Linked DNA regions of Notamacropus eugenii. The protein of the gene in region 3 interacts with the protein of the main gene of each other region in a pairwise test. Links are inferred from orthologs where the notes say so. Each region holds a gene or a part of one and is shown on either strand. Other genes may lie near its edges.

The links.
Region 1: the proteins of FHL2 (region 3) and ZNF131 interact in binary tests that used the Homo sapiens proteins (3 or more experiments, as listed by UniProt). The two-hybrid records come from large-scale screens. The link is inferred for Notamacropus eugenii from reciprocal best matches to the Homo sapiens genes FHL2 and ZNF131.
Region 2: the proteins of FHL2 (region 3) and KIAA1217 interact in binary tests that used the Homo sapiens proteins (3 or more experiments, as listed by UniProt). The two-hybrid records come from large-scale screens. The link is inferred for Notamacropus eugenii from reciprocal best matches to the Homo sapiens genes FHL2 and KIAA1217.

The regions. Positions count from the first base shown.
Region 1 is NC_092875.1:416,848,342-416,856,601, reverse strand, and holds the start of ZNF131 (zinc finger protein 131), read left to right. Parts: upstream 1-5,047; 5' UTR 5,048-5,107; coding exon 5,108-5,211; exon of another isoform or gene 5,212-5,251; intron 5,252-5,255; exon of another isoform or gene 5,256-5,499; intron 5,500-5,719; coding exon 5,720-5,859; intron 5,860-6,956; coding exon 6,957-7,058; intron 7,059-8,260. UniProt on the Homo sapiens protein: Plays a role during development and organogenesis as well as in the function of the adult central nervous system. May be involved in transcriptional regulation as a repressor of ESR1/ER-alpha signaling.
Region 2 is NC_092874.1:64,821,654-64,830,062, forward strand, and holds the start of KIAA1217 (sickle tail protein homolog), read left to right. Parts: upstream 1-5,196; 5' UTR 5,197-6,286; coding exon 6,287-6,497; intron 6,498-8,137; exon of another isoform or gene 8,138-8,409. UniProt on the Homo sapiens protein: Required for normal development of intervertebral disks.
Region 3 is NC_092877.1:200,474,790-200,482,915, forward strand, and holds the start of FHL2 (four and a half LIM domains protein 2), read right to left. Parts: upstream 3,248-8,126; 5' UTR 3,158-3,247; intron 1-3,157. UniProt on the Homo sapiens protein: May function as a molecular transmitter linking various signaling pathways to transcriptional regulation. Negatively regulates the transcriptional repressor E4F1 and may function in cell growth.

The sequences.
Region 1 (8,260 bases), on a different chromosome or scaffold from region 3:
AGAGAGCATGATTGTTTTCAAGAGAGATTGTGGGGGTAAGATCATCAAGACCTGGAATCTGTTTTGATATAGAGATTAGAGAAAAAAGATGTCAAAGTTGCAAAACTGGATAAATGGAAGGATGAAAGGGGGGCAGGTTTTGAGGGAAAATATAATTAATATTGTTTTGGACATGTTGAATTTAAGGTACCTTTGGGACCTCTCCATCCAAAATGGAGATAGCAGGTAGAAAGCTGGTAACCTCAGGGAGACTCAAGGCAGAGTGGAAAGAGCTCAAGATTTGGAATCACAGGATCTGGGTTTGAATTTCGACTCTTCCACTTACTTGCCCGTGTGATTCTAGGCAAGTCACTTCAATTCTCCCACTTCACTTCTTGTTTAGTCATTTTTCAGTCATATCTGAGTCTTTGTGAGCTCTTTTTGGGCTTTTCTTGGCAAAGAAACTAGAATAGTTTGCCATTTTCTTCTCCATGCCATTTTATAGGTAAATAAACTAATATAAATGGGCTTCAGTGACTTGCCCAAGATCTCACAGCTAGGAAGTTTCTAAGGCTGGATTTGAACTCAGGTCCTCTTGACTCCAGGGCCAGCACTCTATCCACTGTGCCATCTAGCTTCTCAACCTTAGTTCACTCATCTGAAAAATGGAATTAGAAATAATAACTTTTAAGTTTCCTTCAGACCAAGGTCTATGATCCTATGAGACTACAATCTGGCATTTTTAAAGCTAAATATATCTATTTGGAGTCATCTGCACAGAACTGTCAACTGAACCCCACAGAAACTGATGAGACTGCCAAAGGATGGAGTACACAAAAAACAGAGCCCCAAATGGAGCTTTGAAAGATACCCACATTTAAAAGGCAGGAAGAGCATTTAGGAAAGAAGACAAAGAAAGATCCATCAGACAGAGGGAAAACCAAAAGAGAAAGTCACACAAGGCAAAAGTACCCAGAAGAAGGGTAGCTGAAAGTACCAAAAGCTGCAGAGAAGTCATGAAGGATGCGAACTCAGGAAAAAAAAAAAAAGGCCCACTGATTTTCAGCAGTTAAGACAGTATTTGCAAATTCAGAGGAAGTAGTTATAGTCAAGTGGTAGGATAAAAAAAAAATCAGAATGCAAGAGATTAAGAAGTGAATGGGAGATGAGAAAAAGTAGGCCAGCATTACAGAAGGCTTATTCTGTGAAAAGGGAAGGAAGAAAAAGGTTGGAGGAATAGCAGTCAAGAAAAGATTTAAGGATAGAAGAGAAGTAAGCATGTTTATAGGTGGTAAGGGAAGGAGCCAGAAGGTAAGGACAGACTGAAAACAAGAGAAAGAGAAGGAATGGGGGGAGGTCTCCTGGAGGAGACTGGAAGGGATAGGACCAAGAATTCAAGTGAAGGTACTGACTTTAGCAAGAAGAAGGTCCACCAACTCATTAGAGACTGGAGCAAAAGAGGGATGACAAAGGGTTTAGGATCTTATGAATGGTCCCTATTTTTCCTGCAAAGGAGGAGTTGAGGTTCTCTGCTAAGGGGCAGGGTGGCAGTAGGTGTAGGAAGTCTGAGGAGTGAAATTGTGTAAATGTCACAGGATCAGTCGGGATTAATGTGCAGCAGGGAGTGTCCAGCTGAAATTATGTAACATAAACCTGGAGAGGACCCAGTGAGGTTACATGGCTTTCTTCATTTGTTGTTCAGCAGCACCTGAGTAAACATGGAGAGGGTGAGTTGGTCAGTCAACAAACATTTATTGGCACTGTGGTAAGAGCTAGGGATTCGAAGAGAAGCAAAGACAAAGTCCTTGCCTTCAAGGAGCCCACTTTCTAATGGGGAAACGTAACTAAATATGAACATACAAGGTATCTACAGTATAAATGGTGGGGAATCTCAGAGGAGAAGGCACTGGGGAGGAAGGAGACCAAGAAATGACTCTTGCAGGTGGGATATCCGATGTCTTTGTTTTGACATGGGTTCTCCCTATCTCACCCAGGCTGGACATACTGTATCCGGTCATAAAGCATGATGCATAAGGGAGCTTTAACCTACTCTCCTTCTGAACAGTTCTCCCCTCCTTAGGCAGCCTGGGGATCCTCCCGTCCTAGGGGCTCACTGTTCTTCAATCTTGTCCAACTCTTCATGACCCCATTTGGTGTTTTTTGGCAAAATAGAGTGGTTTGCCATTTCCTTTTCCAGCTCATTTATGAGGAACTGAGTTAAACAGGGTTAAGTGACTTGCCCAGGGTCAGACATAGCTAGTAAATGTTTGAGGCTGGTTTTGAGTTCAGGAAGATGAGTCTTCCTGACTTTGGGCCCACCACTCTATCCACTTTGGTGGATACACTGGTCATCTACCACATCAGTGTGGATGCTTGATCAACTTTAACTTTACCTGCAGCTCAGAATTCTGGAACTCAAGTGATCCACCAGCCTCAACCCCAGCCTCCAGAAGCAGAGAGAAGACAGTACGCTGAGGTGAGGAGGTAGAGTATTGCAGGTATAAGGGATAACTAGGAAAATGGCTTAGTCGAGGGATGGAGAATCTTGTTCAAAGGAGGCACGGTGCTACTGAATTGTAGAGCAATTGTGGAGGGGGAAGTAAGGTCTAAGAAGACTGGAAAGGGCCAGGTTGTGAAGGCCCTTAAAAACCAAATATGGGATTTCATATTTGATCCTGGAGGTAACAGAGAGACACTGGAGGTTACTGGGTAGGTGGCTAGTGTGGGTAATCCAAGGTTGGGGTCTGGCAAAATATGACTACTGACAGAACAAGGGACTAAATGGTAGCTACTATTGTATGGCTGTACTGGTCAAGGCTGTGAAGGGAGAGAAAGGAGGTTTGGGGAGGGTTGATGATCAGGGAGAAAAGGATGGGGGTGGGAGGTGGAGGGAAATGGAGGTCACAGTAAAGATAAATAGTTTGTGAGGCAGGAGAGACTGAATTATAGGAGGCCATGTTCTGACTGATGAGATTTCAGAGTTCTAGATCATGAAGGTGGAACAATTATGGGTGATATAATCAAATCATGGGGTATACTCATCCCTGAGTTTGATGAAAGACATGGGAGTTTAAGAGGTTGATAAACTGAGAGGCCAGGGTGGTCAAGTGGACACTGATATACATGCTGAAGTCTACAAGTTGGAAAACAGAGGCTGGGGCAGAAAGATCATGGGCTTTCAGCTACTGAACTACTGCCAAATGGAAGGAAAATAACCTGGAGGTTGGCAGACGACTATGACAGATTTGGACTAGGTAACAAAGATAGATGGAGTGAACCTCAAAGGAAGTGATGAGTGATGGGAGTAAAGGTGCATTTTGGAAGTGGCAACCGGAGTGAGGAGTATGCTTCCTCTTGCTAGCCCAGGGCCTCTGAGGGCATAAAAGGTTCACCCAGTAATAAACTGGCTACGGATGCAATGTGTGTCTTCTAGGAAAGAATCCATTTTCTTCGGTATAAGACAGAGTAAAAAGAACTAGAATAAAGGGGAAGAAAGGATTTCAATGGGTGCAATCCAGTGGGGGAGCAGAGGGTAATATGGTCCTGGGAAATACAGAATGGGGAGAGGATTTTCACCTTAGCAGATGTTGATTCTGAACCAAAAGGATAAAGGGGAGTTGAAGTCCAGAATTTGCCCATCATTAGAAGGGGAAATGACCAACTGATAGGGGATACATCCTTTGGGGATGGATTTCTTTTTTTTTTTTTTAATAAAAATATTTTTCTTTCAATTTATAATCTGACCTTCCCATTCTATGCGAAAAAACTCTTCTTATAAGCATACTAACTCTGTAAGCACTAATGTACTGTTTCTATTTAATTTTTCTTCACAATCAACAGATTCACATACAATAACACACAACTTTAACATTAAATACCACAAGCTGAGTACTGCAAAGGCTTTTGCTAAATACTTTAAACGTTTCAGAAAAGGCACATTTTGCCATTTTTAATGAGGTTTTAATGTGTTTGAAAGTTAGAGCAGAAATGGTAAGGCACCCTAGTGAGTTCTTCTCGAGTGGGGGTTAGAATGGGAAAAAAAAATCCTCCTTGTGCTTTTCACTTCTAAGGTCACTTACCGTTTGGCCTGACACTGTAGGACTTCCTTGTTTCTTCTGACTGGATGTTAACCCCTTGAGGATAAAGAATTATTCTTCTTTTCCTCCGCTTGGCACAGAGAAAATACACAGCAATCGTTTGTTAAGCGGAATTGTAGAGTGAAAGGATGGGCCTCGTGCTCGCTCTACTGTAGCCTCTGGGGGAGGCCTGAGACAGGTGTCGTAAATGGATTAGGTGGAGGCAGCAGCCCGAGGAGCGGAGGGGGATCCGGCAGAAGCATCTGCTCTCAGACCCAGAAGCCTGGGCGACGAGAGCCCCAGGCGGCAGGAACGTGCTCGCTCTCCCGGCTCCCAGCGAGGGAGCGGTGCGCGCTCCTGGCTCCTGCAGCTCGGCGGTCAGGGGGAGCTGGGCACGCACGTGTGTGAAGTGGGAGAACAGGTGCGGCTTGGAGAGAGCGGAGGAGGAGAAGAAAGGCCACAAGCTTAGGTGGGGGCCAAAGTGTTGGGGATTGTTGGGAAGAGAAGGTAAGATCCGGGAGAGTAAGGCAGTGAAGGGGGGCAGAGAGAGGCAAGTTCTGGGGGGAAGGAGAGGAAAAACTCTTGGGAATAAGAGGGAAGTGAGTCATCTAAAGGGAGAGGGAGGTACGTAATTCTTGGTAAGTTTGGGGGGGCGACCAAAGGGAAGCAGCTCTGCAAAGGGAGGCGTGAGTGCTCGGGTGCGCGGCGCGAAGGGGCCGCGGCTTACAGACACGCGGGGTGCGTGGAGGTGGGGCGCGCTGCGCCCTCGGCCCGACAGTCCGTGGCTCCCACGTGTCCCTAGGAGCTGGAAGGCTGGGGGACGGGTAGGAGAGAGCTCCGTGGGGGCGCAGAGCGAAGGAGGCATCCGCCCGCTTGATCTCTCTCAGGGGTACGCAGACGGCAGCTGCTCCCCATGGGCGCCGCGCACCGAGCACGTGGGACCCGAGCCCCGGTCCCGCCTGCGCAGACATCCCGGAGGCTTCCCCCTCCCCTTTCCCCGGGCCTGGGGGCCGGCGCCAGCTCCTTCCGGGAGGCAGGAGAGGGCGTGGCCTATGTCTCGTTTCTTTCCCCTCTCCTCACTCCGCCCCTCCACCTCCTGTCCCAGCCGGCGCTCCGAGGACGTCGACGTCCGACGTGCAGACGCAGGCACGTTGACGTAAGTGACGTCCAGGCCCGGTCCGCTCCTCCTTCCCTGTGTAAGCGCCGGCCCGGTCGGGGCGGGGGAGGAGGGAGGAGACCCAGGAGTCGTTGTGGGCCACGGGCCGGACCGGGTCCCCGGCGGGCGCGACGGGAGCCCCGGGGCCTGGCGGATAGGGCTTGGTGGGCCGTTAGCGGCTCGCCCGGAGCCCTCCGCTCCCGCCCTGGAATTGCTCTGTGGGAGACCCACGAGCCCCCTGGTCCCCGGCAGCCCCGCCGCCCGCCCGCCCAGGAGGGCTCCAATTAGGTCAGGCTGGGAGTTCTGAGCGGGGTCACTCCGCTCCCGCTGCTGCTCCTCCACGGCCCGGGGGCGCCCCGGGCCCACGGCCCCCCGCCCCGCCTTCCCCGCAGCCGCGCCTTCCCGCCCCGTGGGTGGTTTTCGTGCTGGTGGTGGGGGTCGGCGTCTGCGGGTGCGGGGCCGCCGTCGGGAGGGTGGGGGTGAAGGGTGTCGTGCCACTGTCTTGCAGAGCAGCTCGCCTGGCCATGGAGGCTGAAGAGACGATGGAATGCATTCAAGAGTTTCCTGAACATCACAAAATGATTCTGGACCGATTGAATGAGCAGCGGGAGCAGGACCAGTTTACTGACATCACTCTGATAGTGGATGGTAGGTGCTGGCCACTGCTGGGGGCAGAGTCTTTCCCTTTCCATCTGTTGACCCCCACCTCATCTCCTTTTTGATTACCTTTCTTTCCCTCCTCTCTTTTAGTTACCCCCTCCCCAGCTTTAATTGATGTGAATTGGAGCTCTGAGGTCACTTGCTGTGTCTGACAGACAGCCTGATGCTCTGAACTGTTTTCTTGTCACAATTTCTAAGAAACCCAGTACTCCTAACGCTTTACTCTTTTCAGGCCTCAGGGAGGTTTGTCAGAAGGGTGCATTTGAAGATTGCTTAAATGTTTTTCTTTTTTACATGTACCTCAGTTTTTAAGCTGCTCTAAGAGAAGCAGTCCCTTGAAGGAATTCCTTCCATCCATTTTTGGGAAATATTACATCCATCTTAATTGTTCTTCTAAAAAAAACCCAACATTTTTGGCAGCATTTAAATCTTCCTCATTTGGTGGGACCCATAGGGCCCTCCACCATTCCCTTTTTGGTTCATTTCATCTTGTTGTGCATTGTGTGTGAGTGAAAAGTAAACAGATTAAAAAAGCAGGCTCCTTATGATTGTCTATTACATTTGGATGGACCAATTTTTGTCAAAACATCCTGGCTGCCAAAGTCTAAGCATGAGCTCTTAAGAAGTGTAGATGTTAAGCTTCCTGGTGCAAAGGCATGGCATTACCCAGCCAAGTAATGCTTCTTTCCAAAGCTTGTACTTCTACCTCCCTCTCAAAATGAAACTATACACTTTTAAGGTTGAGCTTTTCTTTCTTTCTGGCAGTTTCAACTAAATATGATATGCCCTTTGCTGCTTAATCAGAAATGTTGGAGGCTAGTAAACATCTGTCATGCTTCCTTTCAGAAGTATTTTCATTTTAAATGATCAACATTTATGCAGCTCAGAGAGAATGACCTTTATAAATCTCTTAAAGTCTTGAAATAAAGACTTCTCTTGTTCTCCATTCCAGGTACAAATGTTTGCCAGGTAAAAAGGATAGTGACCTGACTTGAATTCAAAGATTACAAGTAAAAGGTCCTTTTTCCCCCCACTGAATTATTTTTCAAACTGGATTGTATTTTATATGTTTTTGTTGATTTTAGGTCACCATTTTAAAGCCCACAAAGCTGTTCTGGCTGCTTGCAGTCAGTTCTTCTACAAATTCTTTCAAGACTTTACTCAGGAACCTTTGGTGGAAATAGAAGGTAAATTCTTGTTTTCAGTTCAGTATTTGCATTAAGTGAACTATACAGTGATGAAGAGATTTTGAACTTTTTGACACCAGTAGTTATCTGAGAGTTTTACTTTAAAAGTGTTTGGTAAAAATGATCAATTGAGTAGAAATCGTTGCATTATGTATAATAGCTGACACTTAAAGGAACAATAACTGTTAGATTAACAGTTCTAACCTTTGTTGAAACTAACGGACGTTATTTGTGTGGTGGTGAGATGTGAAAATGTGTATTAAAATGTTAGTCAGCTGGGACATTTCTTGCTAGTCGGCAATATGAAATGTGATTATGTAATGATAGTTTTGTCAAGTATCATTGGAGGGCATAATTTCCTTCTTGCAATTGTGGTGATGCTGCTAGTTATCTCAAGTGTTGAGTAGCATTCTGTTAACTAGCAAAGGTAGAAGTTAACACTTCAGAGAAAACATACATAATCTTAACTTGGCGTAAAAGTCTACTGTAGGAAAATTGAGACCAGCCATGTGTAAGGTGTGACAAAGGATAAATTGGATACAGAAAGTTCAAAGTGAAAAAAGGGATCAGATATCATACAGATTCTGACTTGAATGAAAAGTAGTTGTACTACCTGTGTGTCTTTGCTTCTGCACCTGTTAGTTAACAAGCATTTATCAGGCATATACGATGTGGCAGGAATACAAAGACAAAAAATATAGTCATTATCCCTATGCTCGGAGAGCTAACATTCTATCAAAGGAGATTACATACATACATGCACACATATGTATAATCACAAATATTTACAAAGTTAATGGAAGATAATTTGGGAGATCTGAAAAGGCTTTATATAGGAAGTAGCACTTGAGGTCAGTGAGGAATGAAATAGGGTTTCTAAGAGGCCTAGGTCTATAGAGGGAGTGCATTCAAGATGTGTACAAAGGCACCAAAAACAGGAGTTGAACTGTCACATGTAAAGAACAGCAAGGCCACTTGGTCTGGACTGAAGGAGAGTCAGTCTGATAATCCTGGAAACCATAAGTCAAAGTTTAGTGAAAAGAAAGTGACTTTTAGGAATGCTTTAAGAAATTCATTTGGGCAGTTTAGGTATGGATTGGAGAAGGAAAAGATTTGATGCAAGGAGACCAATTAAGAGGTTATTGGGATCATCCAGATAAGAAGTGGTGAAAGCCTGAACTACACTGGTGTCCATATGAATG
Region 2 (8,409 bases), on a different chromosome or scaffold from region 3:
AGACTAGATCACAGGGAGCTAGGTGATACAGTAGATAGAGTACTGGACTTGGAGTCAGAAAGACCCATGTTCAAATTCTGCCTCAGGTATTTAGCTGTGTGGTTCAGTTAACCTCACTCGGCCTCATTTTTCTTACCTGTAGAATGGGGATAGTTATTAGCACTTACCTTGCAAGGTTGTCAGGATGATCAAATGAGATAATACATGTAAAGCACTTTAAAAACTTTGAAGTTCTATATAAATGCTTGTGGTTGTAGCAGTCAGGGGTAATTACTATAGAAGAGGACATCAGATCATCAAAAAACCCTGACCACCAGACCCTGCTGTTACCTGAGGCTTTGCCTCCACATAGGTCTGGAAAATTTCTTTATAGATGCCTTCTCCACTGAGATAGGGTCCCCATCTCCATGTTAGAATAAATGGGAGTATATGCATTTGAACAAACATGCAACCTTTTAGCAAAGCACCTACTCAGTGCAAAAGGCAAGGCTAAAAGAGGGTCTCTTTGCTTTCAGGGAGCTTACAGATTATTGGGAAATATGCTGCTGTTCCACAGAAAGAGGGTGAGATGTTAGGCTAGGTAAAAGAAAGCCTCTGACCTATAGGTATATAGCTGAGGGACCCTGGACATTTCCCTTAACATCTCACTGCCCAAGGTTACTTTCTAAGACTACAAATTTCAAAGCAGGTTCTGATAGGAATTGGTGTAGGATGTTTCCTCACTGGGAGTAGCCCACAACAATGGAATCATAGGTATCTACCAAAAAGAGTGAAGTAGATTGCTACGCGCACAACAAAGAAAGCGACTGAGAACCAAAGTCCTTAAAAACAATAAGTATTCACAGATGTGGGGGATGATTTGATTTAATCTGCTTAAATCTAAGATGATAGATTAGATCAGGCCATCTCAAACCCAAACCCTGATGAAATGGGCTGTTTATAACTACACACACACACACACACACACACACGCACACGCACACACACACTCACATACCATTCCACATGGATGCATACATAAACATGTACACACATATACATCCCCAAATTAGTCTTCCTTTTATTCCAGTGAGTTTGTATTCCTAGTTGAATTCATATGCCTTTGTGAAGGAAAAAAAAAACAGATTAAGTGATAGCTGCACCAATAGATAAATGCTATAAACATTAAAACAACATGAAATTTGAATTTGAAGCCACTGACTATTCAAAATTCTGTCCAGGCCCATAAGTGTATGGCCCTCTCTGTCCCCCTGTCCTACTTTCTACTGGTAACCAAGTGGTACAATGGATAGAGTACTGGGCCTTGAGTCAGAAAGACCTGAATTCAAATTCAGCCTGGGATACTGTGTGACCCTGGGCAAGTCATTTAACCTCCATCTGTCTTACTTTTCTCAGCTATAAAAATGGGGATAGCAACTACCTCCCAAAGTTGTTGTGCGCATCAAATGAGATAATATTTATCAAGTGCTTGGCATAGAGCCTGGTGCATAGTAGGCGCTTAATAAATGTTTATTCTTTCCCTGTCTTGGCTTCTAGCTCCTGGTGATCAGAAACAAAAGGATAGAAATACATATGGAAGATACATTTGGTTATATGGAAAGATACGTAGATAGACACTGATGACCTATTGAATATTAGGCAAGTCATTTAACTTTTCTAGACCTTAGATCTTTATCTGTGAAATGGGAGATTTACCCTAGATCACCTCTGAAATCAAGGATATGCTCGTAAAAAATGTTTAACAACCAACTCTTTGGGGGGCAGAAAACCCACATGTATTTGGGGTTAAGTTTAATCTGCATTATTAACATTTTCTTCATCCCTTTCTTAAGTCCAGAAATTTGATAATACAATAAATCAAGCCCCAATTCTCAGGGTTTGTTCGGGTGTAAATGCTCACACTATAAATTTCACACTCAGCTCTCATGAGCCAACATGAGCTGGTTTTAGCATACTACCATCTGATATCTACGCCAGCTCTAATCATATGACCCTAGAGGGCAATAGAGTGTGGACTAGGGCCCCTGAGGTTTTTATGATCACCCAGAACAAAGGGTATGAAGATGGGTAACACCTCAACCTCTTACCAATAGCCAATCTTAGAGTTTATCTCCAGCGTAACCATATCTATCCCTATTTCCTTATACACCATCTACTCTAGAGGCAGCTCTAGCTCTGGTCCTTGAATCAGGAAGACAAATAAAAATCCAGCTTCAGACATTTACTAGAGAGGTGATGCTGGCAAGACATTTAATCTTTCTCTGATTCAATTTCCTTTACTGTATAGTGGGGGTAGTAATAGCATCTAACTCACAGGGTTGTTGTGATATTGAAAAGTGCTTAGTACTGTGCCTACCACATAGTAGGTACTTATTTCCTTCCTTCCTTCTCTCCTTTGTTCCTTCTTTCCTTCCTTTCTTTTTTTCTTTCTTTTTTTCTTTCCTTCTTTCTTTCTTTCTTTTTTTCTTTCTTTCTTTCTTTTTTTTTTTCTTTCTTTCTTTCTTTCTTTCTTTCTTTCTTTCTTTCTTTCTTCCCATCCCTTCCCTCTGATACTCCCATTAGTCTATGAACTCCTTGAAAACAAGCAAGAACCGTTTTTTTGTCTTTCTTCACATTCTCAATGCCTGGCATGTGATAGTTACTTAATAAATGCTTACTTCCAGAATGATAGTTTCCATCTCCTCCCCTGCCTCCTTCTGAACTTGAAATATGGCTTTCAAGACAATTATAATTTAGCTGCAACCTAAGACCCCAGAGAAGTGGATGAGTCGATGTGGGAAACCTAAATTCTTGTCCCACCCCAACATATCCATTTCTTAGCCCCCATATCACTTGGTGGCTACAGTGGATACCTCTCAAAGGTCAGATTCAGTTCTCTAAGATAGGTATTAGTGAGTAAAAGCCTCACTCCTCCCCGCAACTTCCCCTTTCCATTTTTGGTGGGACAGAGTAGATGTCACAGAATAAGCAGACATGGATGAGTTTAGAATGTATCAAAATCCCATTGTATTATCTTTCCTTCTGAAACCCCCTCTCTCCCAACCTCCCAATTTCTGCTGAGGGAGCCACCATCCTTCTAGCCTACACCCTCAGTATCTTCTTCTGCTCCTCAATCTCCCTCACTCCAAGGTTTATTCCATTCTTTAAAAATGTTTATGTTTAATAATATATATAATTATTATTACAGTGGTATATGTATATAATTTATAAATAATTAAATATGTCAATCAACAAACCTTTTTAAAGCAACTACTATGGCCAAGCACTATGCTAGCCAACGGGGATGCAGGTAACAAAAAGTTTTAAAATTCTAGCTCTAAAGGAGAAAGACCACAAATACATATAAGTGTATACAAAATAATATAAAGAGAATAATTACAGATAAATACAAAATAATTAAGTACAAGGTTCTTTGAGAAGGCGCACAGTTGTAGTCAAGGATGAGAGTGGGGGATCAGGAAAGGTTTCTTTTAGAAGACATTGCTTGAGCTCTATCCTAAAAAGAGATTTGTTTCCTCTAAGGCAAAGGTAAAGAAGGAATGAATTCCAGGCACAAGGGACGGCCAGTACAAAAGCATGGAGATGAGAATTGAAGTACTATTTGTGATAAATAGAAAAAAGGCCAGTTGAGCTGAATTGCAGAGTATGGGATAGAGAATAATGCATAGTGAGGTTAGAAAGATAAATTGAGGCCTGCTTGGAAAAGGACTTTAAAAGCTAAACAGAGGAGTTTATATTTTATTCTGCAGGCAATGGGTAGCCACTGGAGTTTATTTTGTAGGGGAAGGATAAATTCAGATCTATGCTTAAGAAAAATCACATTGGCAGTTACGTGGAGGATAAACTGAAGTGGGGAGAAAATTGAGTCATGAGAACCCATACACTTACATTGGAAGGATGTGCTCAGTTTTTACTTTATTTTCTTTTACCATGGTGTGCATGGTCGAAAAAGGTTTAGAGACCATTTCTCTAGAGGTTCAAAGTGGGCAGGGAACATAGGAGAGGACTGATGGTATAGGCAGAGGGATGATGTCCAGAGTTTGAAGTGAGTAATAGTTGTAGCAGTGGGCAGGGTTCTCTAAGGAGCTATCATGTCCCTGATTGTAGAACTGAAGGGTGAGGAAATTACAAGGGTAGGGATCATCTACCATGATGCGGGATCTTTATCTTAGAGGCTTGCTGTATATGTACTCAAGCCAAGCTGAATGGGGAAAAAAAAAAAATTAAGCACTATGTGCCAGGCACTGTACAAAGCACTGATTGTACAGATACAAGCAAACAAGCCAGACCCTACCCTCAAGAAGCTTATGTTCTAAATGGAAGAAGGAAAGCTGGAAGTGGGAAAGCAGTGCTCCTGAGGTGGGAGGGCTTGGAAATGACAGGAATGTGTCCTAGTGGCCTAGTTCTGAGAAAGATAAGGTAAAAGCTCACCTGTGAGAACACTAAAACTGTGAGTTGTGGTGGGAGGAATGGCCAGGGTGCAGCAAACATGGTTTGGAAATGGAAAGGATGCCCTGTGCTTCTAGCCTAGCTCCTCTAGATCACCTGCAAAATGAAAGATGAGTACAAAGCTTACCTAACCCCAGGGCAGAGTCCAGTCCCAGTGGGATGACCCAGAAGGGCTCATTTAACAGGGTGGAAGGCTTAGGGATAAAGTATATCTCACCTGAAACAGTGCTAAACAGGAGTAAATTTATCCAGTATAAAAGGGAAATAGCATGATGTTTACGTTTGGAGTGGTATTTGGTAATCACATATTTCCTGAACCTTTTTATAGTTTATAAAGAGACTCTCCCTAAGGGAATATAGAGTAATTGAGTTTGGAAAAAAGCTTAACCCCAAATAATAAAATCACTGAGAAGCTAAAAAAGAAAATAATTATCCTTCATAGTAAAGAGTTTTTGTATTCTTGATACAAGCTATGTATTAAATGAATGAAATGAATTTTTTAGAACTGGACTCATATGATCCTTTAAAACACCATATATATATGTATATAAATATAATTAACACTGCTTTCTGAGGAAGCATGATAACAGCCAGTGTAGTTTGAGGGACAGATCACTGCACAGCCTCTGGTCCTTAGCAGATGTTTGACTTTGGGCAAGGCCTTAAACTTTATCTGAAAACTTAGAATAGCATGACTGATCTCACAAGATGGTTATAAAAAGATTATGTGAGATTATGTATATGAAGTAGTCATATGGCAGTTATTGTTATTATATATAAAGCAAGTCAGTTACTCTTAGCATTGATTTGGTCATTGAGAGGTAGTATAATTTGACAGGAACAACAGTGGACCTGCAGTCAATAGAAACCTGGCTTGGAATACTTCCTCTAATAAGTAGTAGCCATATCACATCAGCAAGTCATTTAACCTCCAAAGGAACAATAAGAACAGCCATAACTCATCCCTTGTGGGGCTATTGTGAGGATCAAATGAGATAATATATTCATAAAGTGCTCAGCAAACTTAAATATCGACTATCATTCACATGTTCTTTGAGAGGGAGTTTGATAAAGCACAAAGACCACTGCCTAGAGTTAGCAGAGACTTGGACCTGAATCCTGCCTCTGACACTTTTAGTTCTTTGTGACTGTATTTTTGCAGTTTGGAGTTGAGCTCTTTCCAGCCTCAACTACTCTACACCCCCTCCCCTCCTGGCAGATCCCTATGATCCCCAATGGTGCCCTATCCATTGTGATCAGTGATGACCACCAACGGGAGGAGGGGAAAGGCCTAACCTTATTCTTCTCCTCTGAAATAATGATGTAGGCAGGCAGAGGTACATAGTCAGCCAGGGGATGGCAAAAGTTTATTAAGGGGAGGAGATATGTGCTTGAGCCAATGCCTGGAAGTACCATGTAATTGCATATTTCCCGCAATATTCCCCCCACATCTGGATTCTTTTTCATTATCTCACCTGAGTGGGTGGGGTAACGTTTACATTCTTATCCCCCTTGAAGGCTGCCCAGTGTCTAGTCTGTGCATGCCAGGAGGCGTGTGCGCTATGAACGTTTCTGAGCCCAGCATCTGTTTTTGCCTCGGAGTTGGAGCATTTACCATCGCAGAACCGTCAGCTGCTTTCCCCGAGCCCACATCTACATTCCACAGGTCTGGCACACTGTCTGTGTGACTGCACCGTGCCTTTTGTTTAAAAGAGAACGGATTGGCAAGCCAGGACTTTGTATCCAGCAGCCTCTCCCTGGGTCAGTTGCAAAGTAAAAAGCCCAGAGGATTTGCAGAATTTGCTGGCCCAGCAGGTAATGTTCCCGCTGATTCGCGATGTCCAAGCCTTCTCGCTTGGCTAGACCGTTCTCAGCTAATGCAGCTTCTAAGCTGCCATTACCTAGGAGGGACGAGCAGGACAGCAGGCAGAAAAAGCACAGTTTAGGGGAGAAGAATTTGAAAATTGGAAGTGAAGGAGGTCTGGGCAAACAGCAGCAGGTGCAAACTGCAGCCACGACCGCTCCAGGCAAGGCTCGTTCATGCAAAGGTAATGTTTGCTGCCAGTCTCCCGGGTCCCCTTGTCTATCAGCTGGAAGGTTTTCAGCTTACTTACTGGCTTAATGATACTACTGGGTATCTTAAATGAGTTGGACTTTCTGGTTTCAGGAAGTTATCTGTGTGCATGCATGTAATTTCTTGTTGTCTAAAAGTTCCAAAGCAAGTCACTAAAATAGCCAATTATTGGCAAGAGGTGGGTAATAAAAAAAATTCCGTAGTTAATCAAGGGGCAGTAAAATAAATGAAGTCAGGAAAGTGTATATAACTGATACTTCCATACTTCTCCTTTGGAATGACTGATTACATCTCCAGTTATATTTAACAGCTTTTCCTAGACCAGCCATAGTCACCCAAAGTTTCTTTTTATTGCCTAATGGACTGAAAGGAAAAGAAACAAAAAATGGGGTGGGGGAGCCCTTTAATATACTTCATTAACTAGTTGAGAGTTTTTTATACAGATTTGCATTTTTTCTCAGCCTCTTTTAAAAATGAGTTACTATATGGAATAATAATCTAACGATGGAACTTTATGCCAAGCAGTACAAAGGAATCCTGCGGGCGTCGTTAAATATTGTGCAGGAATGTAAATGAGGACAATCAGGGTTCTGTAGGAATATCTCACTTGTCAAGCACATGCCTAGATGAGGCCATCCAAGAGGTGGTCTCCCCAAGAAACCTCCGAAAGTCAATGCATTTCTGAAATGATCACCTACATGTTATTGTAGTCCAATAAATGGTGGAGGCAACAGAGGCCAGGTTGAAAAGGTTAAAATTCATTGGTGCTTCTCTATTCTATTAAAAACTCTAATAAGAGTGACTACCAAGAAGCGCTGATCATTTTAATACAAGAATTTTTTTATCGAGACTTAAATGATGTTATTTGTATTCTATGCACAAGCATGTGACTTTGAAGTCAATTTTTCAAACGTAAAATGCCATTCTAATTATTTCACTATTTCCCCTCAGAATACAATCAATTAGTCAATAAGTACTTTTTAAGTCCCTACTACTTGCCAGGCGCTGTGGTAGCCAGGTTAGGGGATACAAGTACAAAGAATGAAACAGCTCTACTTGAAAATGAAAACAGCCTTGCTTCTAATGGGAAGGACAAGAAGCATAGAGATCGAGATATTGACACTGATATTGACATAGATGTGCGTATTTTATGTCTATTTGGATATATGCTATATATAGAATAAATCTGAGATTAATACATACAAGCAAATTGTGTAAAGTAGTACCAAGATGGTTTGGGAGGGAGGACATTAACAGTTGGGGGATCAAAAAAGGTTTTATATAGGACATGGTGTTTGAACTCTATCTTCTAGGAAAAGTGAGATTCTATGAGGCGGAATGAATAAGGGAATACATTCCAGACATGCGGGGCATCCAGTGCAATTTGAAGTCAGAACCTTTTTCTGTTAAAATGAGCAGAGCATAAATAGAAAAAAATACAGTGTGATTTAACTGGCAACTATAGATTTTCCCCATTGCATTCCACTTCAAAGGTATACATTTCCATCTTGGGAAAAAGTTTATTTTTTCCCCTTAGTATAACTTATTGCATGTGTATAAAGAAATGGTGACACATTTTCTTACCTAGTGTGATGAGTGATGTATTTGTACTAAAAAAAAAAAAAAAAAAAAAAAAAAAAGCCCTCAAGAATTGCCATCCTGTGTAAAAGGCAAATGTCGAAACCAGCCGGGAAAGGCTTAGAAAGTGTCAGTCAGTTGCAGAACAGACTAGATTTGGCCGCAGAAAAGGGAAACTTTCTTTGATGCTGTGATGTGTGTGAAAGCCAGAAAACCCTATAAAAAGAAAGAAAGAAAGAAAAACAGCACCTAAACTTGAAGACTGCCCCGCAGTTCCAGGGTACTTGCACACATGAGGTGATTATAAA
Region 3 (8,126 bases):
GAAAACAAATGGCTCCCCACAGCTAGTTCAGATATTTCTACCTTCTCTCATTCTAATTAGATGTCACAATGCAAAGAAATGCAAAATGCTTGCAAACCAAAATGGAATTTTTGTATTTTTCCCTTGGCTATATCCTCAATATGCATTTTAGCTCTCCTTTTTCTCTACTACAGGTATTTTTCTTAATACTCATAGGTATGTTGGAAACACATAAACATAGCTTATGTGAATTATTTGAATGGCTTGATGATGACATTAACTTGTTCTGATTTCATTTGACCATTTTTCCATCATCAGTTATTAATTAGAGGAAAAGACTGCTATTAAAATGAATAAAAAGTTTTTTCTTTCTCTATCCTTACTCCTCAAACTTAAAAATGATCTTTCTAGTTTAGAAAAAGTTAACAGCCTCAGGTTCTAAAAATTCTCTGTTAGAAAAAAAATTTGTTTTTACAAGATAGCATTTTAAAAAATAGCATGACATTTATAAAATACATCTGTTAAATACCAAATTCTTCAAAGCACATGTTATTGCTGCTTTTAATTGTCCAACCATGATTTAAAGACCTTTGAGAGTACAATTACAGGAAGCCAAATTAACCTGGGTAGAAAACAAATCAATAAAGTTAGATGCTTGGTGTCATATAGACTAATCTAAAAATTGCTAAACTAATTTTTTTTTCATTTTTTTTGCTGATAATTTTGCTAGAGTAGAAGTAGCTTCACAGTACTCTGGAGCAATTTTCTTTCTGTGTGTTAAATGAGGATCAAATGAGATAACATATATAAAGTGCTTTGAAAACCCAGAAAGTGATAAATTAATATTATTGAATATCAATGAGCTAACTTGATTTTGAATTTGAGATTCTACATCAGGATTAGTGAACTCTCATTTATTCAGAATGGTTTAGGGAAGGATGGCTCTGATTAATTTAATATTGAAGTATGAAGCAACCCTAAAATACACTGACTACAATTTAATTTTTACACTTAAATTTTGTGAAATTCAAATACATGTAGGTTAGATTTGTCACAAATATAGTTGTAATTTATAAATTACATATGGTCTAGTCTGGCCATATACCTATGTACTATAATGCATTTGTGTACACAGAAAGCATACTATATTATCATAATGTATAATAATGTAGCATATGTGTGTGTTGTAAATTATTTTTGTTATACAATGTTCCAAAAGTCTTAGTGCAATTTAAACTTTAATAAGCTGACAACTGCACTAAGACATTTGGAACATACTGTGTTATACGCATATGCATGTTTTTATAGATACGTTTGTGCTAAATGCCAGACCGGATGAATCAAAAGCTGAAATTAAGGTATCTCAGATATGTAAATGATACCATTCTGATGACAGAAAGTGAAGGAGATTAAGCCTCTTGATGAGGGTGACACAGGAGAGTGTAAAAGCTGGCTAGAAGCTTGACATTAAAAAGAAAACCTCTAAGATATTGGCAACTGGTCCCATCATTTCCTGGCAAATAAGGGAAAAGAAACGGAACTCGTGTCAGGTTTTGTATTCTTGGGCTCAAATATCACTGCAATCAGTAACTGCAGTCTGAAATTAAAGTACACTTTCTCCCTAGAAGGAAAGCTATGGCAAATCTAGACAGCGTGCTAGAAAGCAGAGACATCATCTTGCTGACAAAGGTCCATGTAGTCAAAGCTATGACTTTTTCAGTAGCAACGTGTGGCTGTGAGTTAGGCTATAGGGAAAACTGAGCGCCACAGAACTTATGCTTTTAAATTGTGTTGCTGGAGAAGACTTTGGAGAATCCTTTGGACAGCAAGGAGATCAAATCAGTCAATACTCAAAGAAATTAATTCACTTTGTTCACTGGAAGATCAAATACTGAAGCTGAAGTTTAAATACTTTGGCCACATAACGAGAAGATGGAACTCATTGGGAAAGCCTCTGGTGTTGGGAAAGATTGAAGGCAAAAGGCAAATGGAATGGTAGAAGATGAGATGGATAGATAGTGTCATGTAAACAGTGAACGTGAGCTTGGAGAGACTTTGAGAGTGAAGGACATGAAGAAGGATAGAAAGGCCTGGTGTGCTATGGTCCATGGGGTCACAAGGAGTTGAACACGACTGAAAGGCTGAACAACACATTCTGTTTGCCATAAACTCTTGTTTATCATATCTGACCATGAGCCCCATTGTAGAGCAAGCACTTATTACAAGGATGTAGATCTACCATTAGTCAACTCCCCTCCCCCAACATTTCTTAAGCACAAATACAAGTACTTAAAATCTCACGAAATATGACTTGCTTTACAAAGCAGGGGTTAGACTTGGCCCCCAGTACTTACATCCTAAAGGGGTTCCACAAACTGCTTTCTTTCATAGACTGGAGGTAAGAAATAGCACTTGCCTGGCTTCTGAGGAAAAGTAACTAAGCAACCAACATGGGGTGCCAAGGCGTTGGCTGGGCTCTTGCATTCATGACTCAGTCCTAGGCACATCAGGCCAGAGTCCACTGCAAAAGCGTGACTGCATTTCCTTTTGGAAAGCCCACAACAGCTATTTGTGCTTTCATACTATAAGCCATAACAAGTCGTTTTGTTTAAACATACTTTCCCAGTGTGTAATCAGTCTCATCAGTGATTTGCCTTTCACCCAGAGGCACCCGCAGGCCATCAGGAAATGCTGTCACGGAGCAAAGCCTCAAATGCAATATGGAGGTTTTCATCCCTATTTTTTTGTTGTTCTTTATTGTTTCGGAATTTTCCAGTTTCCAAATATTCAGTGTATGTGAAGCAAAAAAGGAAAAAGAAACCCCCTTGCCAAAAACCCCCCAAAAACCCAAACCCTTTTCCATGCAATTTTCTATTTGAATGGGAAGAATGGTCCACATGGAAGGAAAAATATTCTTTCAGCACAGTCTGCAGAGGGACAGGATTTTGCATAATGAGCCCAGCTGTTTAGCACCTGGATGGCAGTCCCAGACTGGCATGAAGAGACATTGTGTAGGCAGAAACGGCTGAAGGGAAAGCTAACAGTTTTTAAAGCTCTCTCCTCCCTAAACATCAAAGCTTCCCCACATTAAGTATTTGTTATCTTGCTGGTAGCCCAGGAACCGGAGAGGAAGGAAGGGGAAAAGAAATTATTGTGGATCAAGTCATTTTGTCCTTACCTCGGCTACAACCCAGTCAGTGGTAGCTCCTTTTGGTCGGCTCCCTTGCCTGAAATGAGAGGACAGCAGCCAGTGCAGGGGTTTACTGCTTTATTGGATTACTCCTAACTATGTCTTTAGTAATTAGACAGGTCTTCTCTTGCCAGAGGGAGCTATAAATACAGTATCACTAAAGGAACAGCCATCCACAAAAGATAAGAACTGAAGCACCTCAGCTATGGAAGCCTTTTAAGGCATCTGAATTAAGACAGCTCAGACTTTCCAATGACAGGGGGCTGCCAGGCTCCCCTTTTGGTCAGTTCAGTCCAAGGACACACTTGTCCTATGTAAATAACTCAGCAAGCAAAGTGGAGGGGGGATATTGGGGAAGGGGGAGAATTTCAGCTTTATCAAGCCTATGACAGACTGTTAGATTGCCACAACTGTGGTGTGTCAGGAACATATTACAGGTTTGGAGGGCCAGGGATAACTTCAGAAGTCAGCCCTTTAGAGGTAGCTTGGAACTGGAAGTACCTTTGACTCAGTCACCCTAAAACACTTGTGGCATCAGTGAGGGCTCTTCCATCATCTTCTAGTGGTGAGCTTTCAAGTCCTGTTCTTGAAACTATTACCCCACAAGACTTTCTTTAATCCTCATGAGAAGATTCACATCGTGAAAATCTTGGCATCACACCCTTGGATAGCCTGTGGGGGGAGTGGGGGCAGTAATAATGAACAACAAGTATGTTTGTAATTCCTGAGCTCCACGTATGTAAGTCAATGTAGAAGACCTTGTGTATTGCTGTTAAGCCTAAGCTAGAAACAGGTGAAATGGAAGAAAAGGAAAGGGAGAGAGAAAGGCTTTCAGAGAAAGGAATGGAAGGAGAAAGAGAAAAAGGAAGGACAAAATAAAAATGAGCATGTGGTAGGAGTGGTGGAATGCTAATAGGGTGCCTCTCAGTCAATAGATAAGCACTTATTAAAAGCTGACTACATCCTTCACCTCAGGGCCAGAAATTATCTAACCATGACTACAATTTAACTTACTGCAAGACATTACATCAGTCCAGATATTATTTAAAGAGTGACTTTTTGTGATCATTTACTTTTATTTCATGCTTCCCTTTGATGCCTCATGGTGTTAAGGAGGTAAGACTGGGTTCTTTTGGGTTATAGCAGCTGAATACATGCTGTAGAACAGAGGTATTAAACACACTGTGGTCTGCAACATGGGAGTCCTGCCTGAACCAAATTAAAATATAATTGGGAAATATTTAATGAAATAAATATATTACATATATGTATATATATACATATTTATAAAAAATAAAATAAATAAAAATACAATAGAACATTGACTTTTAAAGTCAATATATTGATGTATGGATTAGTGGTCCCCCTTTCTATTTGAGTTTAACACATCTGCTCTAGAAGGTCCTATAAAGCTAAAAAATCTTCATAAGATCATGAACCTAGGGCTGGGAGGGTTCTCAGAGGCTACCAGCTTCCAACTCCCTCTTTTTCTAGGGTAGAAAACTGAAGCACAAAGAAGTTGTGACTTGCCCAGGTTGACACAGTTAATATGTATCTGAGGAAGAATTCAAACTCAAGTCTTTCTGACTCCAAGAATTTAGACAAAAAAAAAAAAAAATTCCCAGTACTGTCATGTGTCTGAGAATCATGGAATGCCAATTTCAAAAGAATTAAAATTAAAGGTTACTGAAAGAAAAACGGAAAGATGATTATCACCGTAAGTAGGCTTCTCTATCTACTCTAATACATCACCTTTGATAATGGGAATAATGCATTGCCTTGTCCATAATAGGAACTTAAATGCTTGGTGAATTGAATTGAGAACCGTAGAAGAGCTGCTGATAGGCTGTCATCTAAAGAGTAGTTTAGTTGGAGATCCTGGAAATGCTGAAGTAAGCATTTGACCCCAATAGCTAATCATAAACAACTCTGATTATTTAATTTTGAAAAGTGCACTCACATAAAGCATTTCACAATACTTATTTCAGAAGACAGGAGACTAAAAGGATAGAAGATAATAGGCATGAAAGAGTTGCCCATTGACTATATACGTCACAACAACTATAATAGTACCACTTTCCATGTGTCTAACAAGAATTTTCATGCCCTTTCCAAAAAGCATGGTAATTTTTGCCTATTTCATTTGAATTTGAATACATTTCTAAAGCTCATACAAATTAGTGATGGATCTGAGTTCTACTTCTCAATCCAACCGAAGGTATAATTTCCCCCAAATTTTGAAAGAGCATAAGAGAAAAAGGGAAGTTAAATGACTTTGGACTTCTCTAAGATTATACATTAAGGCACTGGCTGAGTTAAGTAAGATGAGCTGTGCCTTAAGTCCCCAGGATTATCATTAACTCATACCACATCTAATGCTGTTGCTACCCAACAGTGTTATGGAGTGGAAAATTTCATGCACTCATGGAGCTGGGCTAGGTTTTTTGCCAGGGAAATTTTCCTTTCATTCCTCTCTAGACTGCTCTCTGAACTTTCTCTACTGTGCCTGAGAAGCCTTTTCATCCTGAATGCTCATTCCAGGCCTGGAATTCATACAACATAAGTACCCTCCCTTCCTCTGACCTCTCTCTCTGATAGGATGGCTCCTCCTAGAACTTCTATTTAAGGAGGGTGCCCAAGCCAGCCACGTCTCATTTCTCTCCAAATTGTACTCTGGATTTTCTCTACCATGCCCCAGAAAACTTTTCATTTTGGAAGATGAGGAAAGAGGACCAGAGGTTAAAACACTTATCTAAGGTTGTACAAATAGTGAGTGGCAGATCTGGGATTTGAACCCAGATTCCCTCACTAAAACTCAGAGTTCTTTCTACTAAAATTTATTGCCTCATCAATACAATCCACCTAAGAGTTAAGGAGTGCTCCTTTAAGTGTGGTCATATGACACAAGTCATTTTCCTTCCCATATGGGTGGGAAGATGAAGAGATGAGGGTTGGAATGGAAGTCATATCCATCTAGGTGAGAGGACACTATGCCCTAAAACAATGGTGTCAAACTCAAATAGAAATGAATCTTGTAGCTTGACTTGGAAAATCACAAATTAACATTATCTATATTGGATTGTATTTTTATTTATTTTGTTATATATGTCCCATTTGCACTTTTATCTGACTCCAGAAGTACTGGAGAATTTTCCTGGCAGAGGGAAGTTTGATATCATTTCCCTAAAAGATAGGTAATGATCATTTTCACAATGAGTTCAATAATTTTTATAGCACTGACCAGTCAGTGTGGCCAATGCATGAAATATTTACTATTTACTATGTACCAGGCACTGTTCCAGGTTCTGGGACTATAATATATATATATGTATGTATATATATATATACATATATATATACATATATATATATACACATATATATACACATATATATATAAATTAATATTTATTAAGCACCTGCTACGTGCCAGGCATTGTGCAAAAACAAAAACTAAACATTGCCTATCCTTAAGAAGTTTTCACTTACTCAAAGGGAAACAGTATGTACACAAAGAAGTATGTGAGAAACATGGGCACATAGGTAATTTCTTTGGTGGTGGTGGTGATGGTAAGAACAACAGGAAGTCTACTCTTCAAAAAGCTTACAATCTATTGGTATTTATTTTAATTTTTTTTAAATTCTGAACTTAAACACCAAGTACAATTATCACTTCCATTTACCCAGTAGAATAGAAGAGTATAATTTATAATTTATATAATTATATAATATGAAACCATGACTCTATTAGGTACGGTTTACTTCTCTTTTTAAATATATAGTAAACAAAGCTCTCCTGCTTATCTAAAATTTCTTCTGGTTTTCTTTCTGTTCTATTTTGTACACTAAAAAATACAGGGAAGAATGCTTAAATGACCCTCTTTTCTTGTCTTTGTTTATGGCAACTCTATGCTTAGCCCCCTGTTGCTTCTGCTCCAGAAGAAAAAAAAACAAACTCTAAAACTCTTGCAACAAATATGCATAATCAAGAGAAATAAATTCCTGCACTGGTTGACTTTGAAAATTCAACTTTTATAAGTACAAAGATATATTGGGGATCACTTTGGAATGATGTGGGAGGAGAGACGAATATGGGAAGCCATTTTAGTACAGTGTGCAGACTAACTCTGAATTGTGGAATCTTAGGCTCAATGGCTAGCCAGAGAAGGAAACATGATGGAATGAGCACTGGATGCTGAGTCAGAAGACCGGACTTCAAGTCCCAGCCCTGAGACTCAATAGCTCTGTGACAGTGGTCAAATCACTTCAACCTTATCAAGCTCAGGTAAGTAGAGAGACACTTTTAGGTTTGTGCCATTATTGCTTATTAAGCATTTATTAAGTATTTCATTAAGTAATTTTATTAAGTACATTTATTAAGTGCCAGTCATTCTGCTATATGCCAAGGGTGCAAAGAAAGATATAAGCAGTCCTTGCCCTCAAGGAGCTTAACTTGTAATAGAAAAGATACCCAGTCTGGGGAATGTTAAATCTGGAGATTTAGAAACATAGCTGATAGAGAAATGAAGGATGGGCCCCTTTCCCAAATGTGTATGTGTTCATCCTTCATTTTTGAAGAAGACCATGCCATCAGAGAAATGATGACATGACTTGCACTTGACTTTGTTTGGAGTGAGGGAGGGCTCTGCAGGTCACCAGCCTCACTTTCTCCTCCTGAGCCATCTGAATCCAGTGACCAGATATTCATCAGGATGACTGGAGATGACCCAGGATGAGGCAATTAGGGCTAAGTGACTTGCCCAAGGTCGCACAGCTAGTGAGTGTCAAGTGTCTGAGGTGAGATTTGAACTCAGGTCCTTCTGACTCCTGCACTGGTGCTCTATCCACTGCACCACCTAGTTGCCCCAAAGTAATGTGTCTGAGACTGCATTTGAACTCAGGAAGATGAGTCTTCCTGACTCCAGGAACTGTACCCCATCTACTTTGCCACCTCCCT